Drosophila melanogaster: one gene and its partner. The protein of the gene in region 1 interacts with the protein of each later gene in a pairwise test. Each region holds a gene or a part of one and is shown on either strand. Other genes may lie near its edges.

What was found. The genes of interacting proteins can lie anywhere in the genome.
Region 2: the proteins of Treh (region 1) and cm interact in a two-hybrid assay, tested with the Drosophila melanogaster proteins (one large-scale study listed by BioGRID).

Annotation. Positions count from the first base shown.
Region 1 is NT_033778.4:21,078,757-21,083,611, reverse strand, and holds the start of Treh (trehalase), read right to left. Parts: upstream 3,005-4,855; 5' UTR 2,741-3,004; intron 1-2,740. UniProt on the Drosophila melanogaster protein: Enzyme that cleaves trehalose to produce 2 glucose molecules that can be used by the glycolytic pathway.
Region 2 is NC_004354.4:7,008,474-7,013,128, forward strand, and holds cm (carmine), read right to left. Parts: upstream 2,673-4,655; 5' UTR 2,619-2,672; coding exon 2,584-2,618; intron 2,515-2,583; coding exon 2,427-2,514; intron 2,372-2,426; coding exon 2,046-2,371; intron 1,970-2,045; coding exon 1,810-1,969; intron 1,754-1,809; coding exon 1,301-1,753; intron 1,191-1,300; coding exon 1,005-1,190; 3' UTR 533-1,004; downstream 1-532. Other genes in the region: sloth1 (sloth 1), read left to right, coding at 3,130-3,283, 3,345-3,430; sloth2 (sloth 2), read left to right, coding at 3,436-3,621; CG3032 (uncharacterized protein), read right to left, coding at 3,815-4,655.

The sequences.
Region 1 (4,855 bases):
ACCAGTTATCCAGAAATTTAATGAGTATAGCCCGATATCTGAGCGATTTGCATTGCAGTGCGGTTTAATCGCGCTGTACCCGATTTGAGGTCACCGAAGAATGGTGACATTCGCCTGACATTTTATTTATATCCAAACTAATCAAGCTGATACATTTTCAAGTCTATAATTAGAGTGGGTTGTGTGTTAGTGACACGTGTGTCGTCTGGCCCCAAATTCTGGACCGGAATTGCGACGTTTTGCACGAATGCCACTCTGTGGACCGACATAACGAGTCTTCATTGAACTGATTCGCTGAATAAGGATTGCTTTCGAGAGATTAACGAATGTATGGATATACAGATACGTCATATTTGGAAATTTGAGTCGCAAAAAGGGGATTATGTGATGGGATTGGAAAACTTAAGCGCAGCTTGGAGAGCCATTATCGGAAGCCAGTAGAACTCAAACTCGAACGGCTAAGGCCACCATATTGCACACGAAATGTACAAATGTATTTTATGGAACATTAAGTGTATGATGAATTATCGCACTACGATGATATAACCCTATGGGGCATCAGAAAACAAAGGGAACTCAAATAGGCGAAACAATTGTGCAATTTAAATTGAGCCGCACGGTAATGAGAACCACAAAGAGAGAAGTTCATTGTTTCAATCTTTCTGTGACGACAGCAACTAGCAGGTGCAACTAAATCATTGATCTAATACATACGTCACAAGTGGTTAGTATTTATGATTCCATTAGCGAAGTCATATTCGGCATTTGCAAGTTGGGATCATAGACTTATAACACTTACTACACTTCCAGACACACTCCATTGAGTTTTTTGTAGATATTTACTTTCTTGTTCCGCTCGGCGTACTCAACCAATATTTGATTTATGGCTCTTTTCGAAAAACATTTCAGATAACCATGGATGACAAATAGCAGGCGCTACAGCTGGCCCTACGTGTCAGGCATTGGAAAACATTATTGTATTAACAACTTTTCGAATTTTGAATTCCCCCCTACGTGGACTTCCGATTCCGCATTACTCAAAAATCACACAATTCCGTCTTAAATTCCATATAAATCATAAAAATGCAGCCCGATCATGAAGCAACTATTGTTTAAACAACAATTTAAGGTGCGTGAACGAAATCATTAACTTTTCTGAATGCTTATTCGCACTCTCACCATTTAGTTGGGCTATTATGTTTGCCAGTGACTTTATGATTTGTTTATATAGATGTGTATTATAAAATTTCATTGTCGTCATCGATGGCAGTGATAAGTGCCTCGCATGACGTTTTTGTTTGAATACAATAGCCAAAAGTCAGTTAATTCAGATCTTTGAACTGGGCTTGAAAAACAAAACTTTGCCAAAATCATTCAAGGACGATTTTAATCGTTATGTGGGCCATTCAACGCGTTCGTATAATTGCCGATTAATTTAATCACTCAACTAGCCATTATAAAGCACGGTTTGTTGGCTTAGTCGAAAATTCTAACAAATGCCTGATGGGTTTGGAATGACATGTTGAAAAGTCCGCGAGGAAAACGAAGAAACACACAAGACACACAAAAACAGGTAATGTCATTAAGAATTAACTTGCATCAGGTTGAATTAACTTGTTTTAGATACTGTGCGTTTTTGCTTTGATTAGCCGTTCAAATGCCGATCGAAAGGCCTTCGAAAGGTTATTGAATCGTAAAAAGGTTTGCAGTTAGCTGCAAACGAAACGTTCATGCGTGAGGGAAATAATTAGTAATTAAGTTAAACAAATTAAATAAAATGATTTGCAATACAAGGATTCATATTGAGTGGCTTAAGTACTGCGTTTTAATCTTAATTAAATAAAGGGGAAAATTTGACCTAGTAACATTATGAACCACTGGAGCCTTAATCTTCAATCTTCAAGTGGACAATAAAGGTTTATCGATTGCTCATAAAACTGGAAAGCATTGAACTTAATCTCGAAGATAACTCAAATATTCGTTATCATGGGCATTGTTTATTGCATTGATATTGAAAATAGATCTTGAAGTAATCTTCTGATGGAATTTCACTTGAAATACAGCGGCATTCAAGGCTCTTCAGTTTTAAGAATCATTTCACCTCTATATAGTTAAGTGCACTTAACTTGTTTTTGGACAAGTTCAGGGATACTGATAAAAAAAAAAAACTGATTGCCTCGTTGAAGTCAGCAGCTTGAAGTGCACATATAGAAAGAACTTAGAAACTTTCTTAGAAAGAATATAATGAAATTGATATTGATATTGATAAGATTAAATAGGTTTAGCAACAGAAAGTGTACATCTTCCAGTCGGGCTGGATCAGCTACTTTCAGCTATTCACTCGATTCCTAATGAAATTCACAGTTCAAATTAGCTGCAATTCATATTGGAATAAAAAAAAAAGTGGTTTTTGGCAGTGCAAAAACGAGACTTGAAGCGTTGACACTAGACAGCAGTTTATATACTATTCGGTGTGGGATTTCTGTCCGCAAGTCCATTTAAATTCTAAATACCCAGGGACCACAGATCACTGACACCGCAAGTCGCTGATCTGTGGTAAAAATAACGAGAATTCACGTTTTCAACGCGATAAAAAAAGCTCAGGGAAAATATCAGCAGATATGAGGGAAAACGACAGCAACCACAGCAATTTGTATTGAAAATTATAATTTAATTGCTTTTGTATATTCAGCTCGCGTTGTATTTTTCAGTCGAGAGTTACAAACCAAATTACAATTACTTGTAAAGGTACTTTTTCAGTTTCAAATTAATTTGTAGTTTGTTTTCGCATTTCACTCACTTTTATTATTGGCAATTTGCTGAGCTGACTACGAGTTTTTATAACTCGCTCACTATCTGTATTGTTTTGTGCACCAGATTACTATATGTATATAGATGTGAACGCGGACTATATACACTCTCGTTCCTAATCAAAAGCGCTGCTTTATCGCCATAAAGCCCCTGCGATGTTGATCGTTTGAAGGCAACGATCCGACTGCCTCGATCCAAGTGCCGGAGATTTAAATTTAAATAAGATTTTCGCAAAGATCCGCCCGGAACAGAGTTACCAAGTGTTCCCTTTGGGGGAAAGAAGCTGAAGCACAGCTGAAAATTGGCTAAAATCGTGTTTTCTGTTTGCCTTTTTAGTTGAGAACGCAAATAAATAAGATTTATTGATGCGTAAACTCTGTCACATTTGCATTGATTGATTGAGAAAATTATTGGGCAGTAGAGAGAATTATACAATTGGCGAAGCACTAGGGTCTCATTATATTCCAATATGGAAAATTTTGTTCATTTTGCCGTGGTGAAAAGGAAACCGTAAATACTTTAGCCTGATTTTCTAAAGCCTCGCTCTTCTGAAATCTCGAAAATAGGGCGATAAGATAGAATCACCCTGAAATGAATTGACGTGGTATTTAAGACCCTCACTAACTTATGATTGTTGCCAAAAACGATTATAAATAATTTTTGATTTGGAAGAAAGATTATTCATTATTGAGATAGGCAGGAAATTGGCTCTAAAGCAAATAAATACTATGTTATCTAAAACTAGTTTTGTTTAGAAAATTTATTCATATTTAAGGAATTGTAAATTAAAACATTTACAATGAAAGAATTTGTAGTAGTGTAGTCATTACTAATTTATTTTTTTACATACATCACAGCGTATTTTATAATGAATTCAAGTTCGTATGAGTTGGATTGGACTCAATTGCAAAAGAAGATATGTTCTCGTAATTAGAACTTGACGTTGGTTACTACTTGAATGAACGCATTATTATTAAAAGTATGAAGTGAGTATATTTCCCATTTCCGGTCAAATGAGTCCACTTATTCAAAACGTCGTATTATGGAAATGACGTATTATTTAAAATCAATGCAAAGGAATGAGTGTAATATCGAAATTGTTCTTGAAAAGTCTGACTTTTGTGCAGTGTGAGTAGTTTCTGGGGATGAGACAGCATCAGGTGATTCAGAAGGCTCGCCGTCTATCGCTCTATCTGGCTAAAACGAACGTGCCATAGCAGGACGGGCCCTTTATCAGTGTCAGACTATCTCGCCTCACCTGAGCCTTCGGTGACTGATGCACCTCCTAATCGCATACTGATTTAGTTTCTGCGAAGCCCAATGGAGCGCCCGGGAGTGGGAAAATCTGAATAGACACTTGGTGATATGCATGACAAGCTGAGTGTGTACTAAGTTCAGAAATAATGAAATCGTTCAACAGGGGGAGGATCTGTCTCAATTGATGCGATGTCAGTTGGTCTGTTGTTGTCTGGGCTGATAAGAAAAGTGACTGATAATGGATTAATTTGCGATCTAGCTGGGCTAGAGAGCTATAAACGTGACTGCCGTTTCTGCTCAACAGCTGGTTCCAATCTGATCTTAACGAGCTAATCCGTTTCACATTACGTATACGACATGGACACACCGCCAAGCAACGACCAATCGCAAATCAGCTCTGAAACAGAGAAGTGAATCTAACTGAGTTCGTGACAAACAATAAACGGTAACAAATGTCAGTTACATTTGCTTCGCTTATGACTGGTCAGGAGAACGCAAACTGTTAATATTAATAGCTTTTACATTTAAATAATCTAAATCGTTGTGGTTTTTTACGAACATAAATATAAATAATTTCTAGAACTGATTATTATTTATAGGAGTCTCTATAATAGACAAGCCATCACACTGAGTCTGAACTAATTGCAAATGAGTGCAAGTAAATCAGGGCTTAGTTTTTTCCTATTTAACTGGAATTTATTTGTCAAAACAACAAAAATGATTACAGTAACTTAAGTGGATGGGTAGTGACATTTAATAGATAATAAATTATAATACATTTTTCAGT
Region 2 (4,655 bases), on another chromosome or scaffold:
TCTCAACCCGTTTGGGGTCCGAGCCCCAAACATTTTGTGCCCGTTCAAGAGCTGGCTCTCTCTGTGTGTGTGTGTGTGTGTGTATAACATGTCTAGCCATGGTCGACGTCGCCTTTCGGTGGCGCTTGTTGGCTACCGTTGCACGCCGCGCCCAAAAGCCTAGAAGCTGTTGCTGCTTGCGGCTGCCATGGGTCAAGGGGGGCGGTCCAAGGCATGCATCGGGGGCGTGGCAGGGCAAACCGGTTACCGGTCTCGGCCAGAGGCAAAAATGCAGCTAAGCTTGTAGAAGGAGATAACGAGGCAACACAGTGAAACCTCGTGTGCTTGTTAATTGCATTAAAAAAAAACTGATTCTAATAGGGATTTAACGAAAAACTCATTGAAGAGTCAAATAGAAATTGAATTTGGGTTTCTTCTTAACAAAATGCGTGGGGTATAGTGTAATGTCACAACTCGATAATTTGATCAGTCTTTCACTTTTCAGCACTCTTGCCTAGAAATGTACGTTAGCGAGTCTCTACTTCTTCGCATTGTTCACACACATTGATAAACAAGATGTATACACACTATTCGTATGCTAAATGCGTTGGCCTGGCTGCAAAATCAAGTTTTGCATTTTCATTTGAATTTATTGGTTTCCTCGCTGGCTGTTGCCAGGCGCACTGCGATCGAGTGGAGTGACTTGACTTGGAGTGCAGTGCAGTCGACGGTGCCATTGCCATGCGATGCCATGCCAAGCCACGCCACTCGAAGACTTGCAACTTCATTCCCAATCAATTCTCGCATTCTTACTCTTCGAATATGGCGACGGCGTCCAAGAACAACGACAAGGCGACTACACTTGAAGTTAATATTTTATGGGTAGAGATATAGATACATAAATGAGATACACAGGGAGAGAGACGAGGGCTAGAACATCAAATGAAAAAAAAAAAAACAAGCGGAATACACTTAACGTTAGCTATTAATTAAAGCTGGAATTGGAATCCGGATGATGATTTTGTCTACATCCGCACCTGGAACTTGCCCGCCTTGGTCAGGTATTTGACGCCCTTGAAAGGCTTGTACTTCTCGCCGTACATGTCCAGGCGATTTACCTTTAGCCCAGAGACGGCCAGCTGCGAGATTTGGAACTGGACATTCACGGATGGATTGGCATCGATGTTGGTCGTACCGGGCGTAATGGAAACCTAGGCGTGCAAGGACAGTATATTATTAATGGGATAAAAATATAAATAATTTAAGACGTTAGATACATGAATCGTGTAAAAGTGTAAAGGGTCTCAATAGTTATTCTTACCGATCCCCTAATATTTGGCAACTTGGAAACATCGATCCGTCCCACATCCCAGGACAGCGTCTTGGTCACCGAATCGAAGGTATACTTTCCCTGATTCGGCGTCAATAGGCAATTAAGCACACACCGCGGCATGGTCAGCTCCAGCTTCACCTTGTCAACGGTGCGACCAAGGGTGTTCCTCGGGCCAATCGTGAGGTCCAGACGCCCCTGCTCACCCGTTTTGATCGAAAAGTTGTGCCTGATGTAGATGGGTATGGCCACCACGGACTGAGAGCTAATGTGATATGACATCAGGCGGAAGTTTCCGTCGGGCGGGATAAAGGAGAGCAGGCGCTCCGCCTCCCAGCGCTTGTAGCGCACGCAAGGATGGAAGGAAACGTCGTCGAAGAGGCGAGGATTCATGAAAGATAACGTCAGATCTGGCATGCCGGATAACTTAATGCAGCAGTCGATCTGATAAAAAAATAAAAGAGATAGAAATTATTTTTATAGACTTAAGTGAAACTTACGTGTCCCTGGATCTCGGCAAAGACCGTGGATCCGGATTTATCAATGATAGCGTCCACCTCCTCGATGACATCGAAGTACGCCTCGTTGTTGGTGTACCTCACGCCGCTTCTGCGCCAGCGAACCGCCGACAGCTGACCCGAGGGCAAAGTAGTGCTTACACTTCGGAAATCGGATTATTAATTGGATTATTAAGGTAAATGAAAGACAAAGACGGAGGGAGCATCATTCAACTTACTTGCTCTTGCCCGTCACCGTGTTGGCAATGGTGCGCAGGATATTGGGCGGCTTGATCAGCTCCTTGAGGATGTTGCTCTCGGTGGCCAGTGGGAAGCCATTATCGAGCATCTCGTCCAGCAGCTCGTAAACGACCACATAGTTGTCCTTGATCACGGACTCGGAGCAGTCGCCGAAATAGTCCTGGAAGGTGTCCACCACGCGATGCAGGAACTCGATGACAAAGAGCGGCGGCACCTCCTGCTTGCAGGCGGCGACCAAAGACACCGTGTCCCTTTGCACTGTAATCAGGTAGTAGTGGGGCGTGGCTATCACCGGCGGCACATCCTGCAACAAAGAGATATGGTCAGCATACAACCCATACGTGGCACGGGCGACTCACATATGGAGCAGCGCGCTGGGCGTCAAGGAAGTATTCGCACACAGATCTCGAGACAACCGAGCGCCAATGCTTTTCCAGGAAGACCTCGCTGAAATGCGGATATATGGGTATATGGGTATTACATCGTCTTCACATTTCACTTATAGGTATGGCTTACCCGCCGCTGTTTACAATAAACAGACTGTGTATCATAATTCGACCTAAATTGCTTGCTAGTTTAAGCTATGTTTTTTTTTCAGGGATGAATCATTAGCGATGACAGCGTGAAGGTGTTCTACTACCATGCTCCCGAAGCGCTTCAGTAACTGTTAAATAATTTCATTAAATTGAAATTAAGATAGGCTGAAATAAACGAACATTTATTTAAGGGGCCTTATACATAGTTAACTTATGAATTTATTTACTAACGTTGTGTTGTCATCACATCAGCTCATCACTAGCTCACTCGCTCATCTCTAATCGAACAGCTGATTGCTGCGAACCGGAACAAATGGAAATTGTATCGTGAGGCAAGTGGAGTTTCCCCTTTACTTTTGGCAAATAATAAATAAACAAAGGAACAAGCCTAAACATTTTCAATTAAACCATATACAGAACTAACGCACACATGTGACGGAGGCAATACACAAACACGGCACCTTTGAATCTCGCCTTAAAATTGGCGAAACCAACACGGAATTATATAACCGCCGGCTGAAAACACATGAGTCCGTACAGCGGATCCGTGCGTCGTCTGCTGGACAGTTGGCCAGGAAAGAAGCGCTTCGGTGTCTACCGCTTCCTGCCGCTCTTCTTTTTACTGGGCGCCGGCCTGGAATTCTCCATGATCAATTGGACAGTGGGCGAGACCAATTTCTGTGAGACTGCTACGCTTAAAACCTTACTTTTATTTACTAATACGGAATCTTTTCCATGCAGACCGCACTTTTAAGCGCCGCCAGGCGAAGAACTACGTGGAAGAGCAGCAGCATCTGCAGGCGCGAGCCGCGAATAACACCAACTAAGCAAAATGCCCGCCGGAGTTTCCTGGGGCCAGTACCTGAAATTCCTCGGCTGTGCCCTGGCATCCATGATGGCCGGATCGCAGGCTGTTCACCTTTACTATAAGCCTCTGGAGGACTTGCGCGTCTACATCGAACAGGAGCAACACAGCACACAGGTGGATCCCACCGCAAAGCCACCGGAATCTGCATAACACTGTGTACTAGACAAGTTATTGGTGACTAAAGCTATTTAAGTGAATGCCTGCTGTTTGTTGAGGAAAGGGTTGTTGGCATAGCACCTTCATGTCCTACGAAGAGCGTTACCTGTTCCAGAACATTCAAAAGACGCCACGTTTCCACTTAATCAGTCTATTTTAAAATCTTTTCCACTAAGGCTAGCTAAGACTACTTCTCGTGCACCTTCCGGTGGTTTTTAAGACACGTCTGCTGCCGGAAGGCCTGTCCACAGGTGTCGCAAATGTAGGGCTTCTCACCCGTGTGTATGTACTCATGGTGCCGCAGGGTTTTCCTAGAAGCAAAGCTCTCCGGACAGTGGTGACAGGGAAAGGGTTTCAGCTTTAAGTGGACTGCTCTCACATGGGCTTCGAGCTCGAATCGCCTGGCAAATCTTCTGCCGCAGTGCTCGCAGGGCAACTTGTCGTTCGAGTGCATCAGCATGTGCTGCAGCAGCATGAACTTCTTGGCCATCCGGCGTCCACAGACCTGGCATTCGTGGGGCAACTCTTCCTGCACCTCGTGCTGCTGCAAAGTGTGGTACTTGAGGGTGTATCGTGAATGGAACTCCTTTTGACAAATGTCGCAGAAATGGCGCTCTCCGGCGCCGCCCTCCCTGGCGGCCACCTCGTCCTCCGTGGGATGCTTTGTCTTAAGGTGGTATTTAAGATTCGCCGACTGGTTAAAGCTGGCTCCGCACTGCTCGCAGATGAATTTCTTCAAAGCATCGCGGTCACGCGGACTGTGCTTCAGCCTTTTGTGCTTCTGCATGGCTATGCGGCTGGTGTAGATTCTCTCGCAGCCTGGCTGGTCGCAGGGATGGCGTCGCTCCTTGGGGGCATGCACCTCTCGAATGTGGGTATACAGACCGCCCATGAAACTGTAGGCCTTCTCGCACTGATCGCATTGGAAGGGCCTTTTGCTGCCCTCGTGCACCTTACGGATGTGCGCTGCTAGGGTGATCTGGTGGGCAAAGCTGCGCCGGCACACAGAACACTTCAGGGTGTTCCTT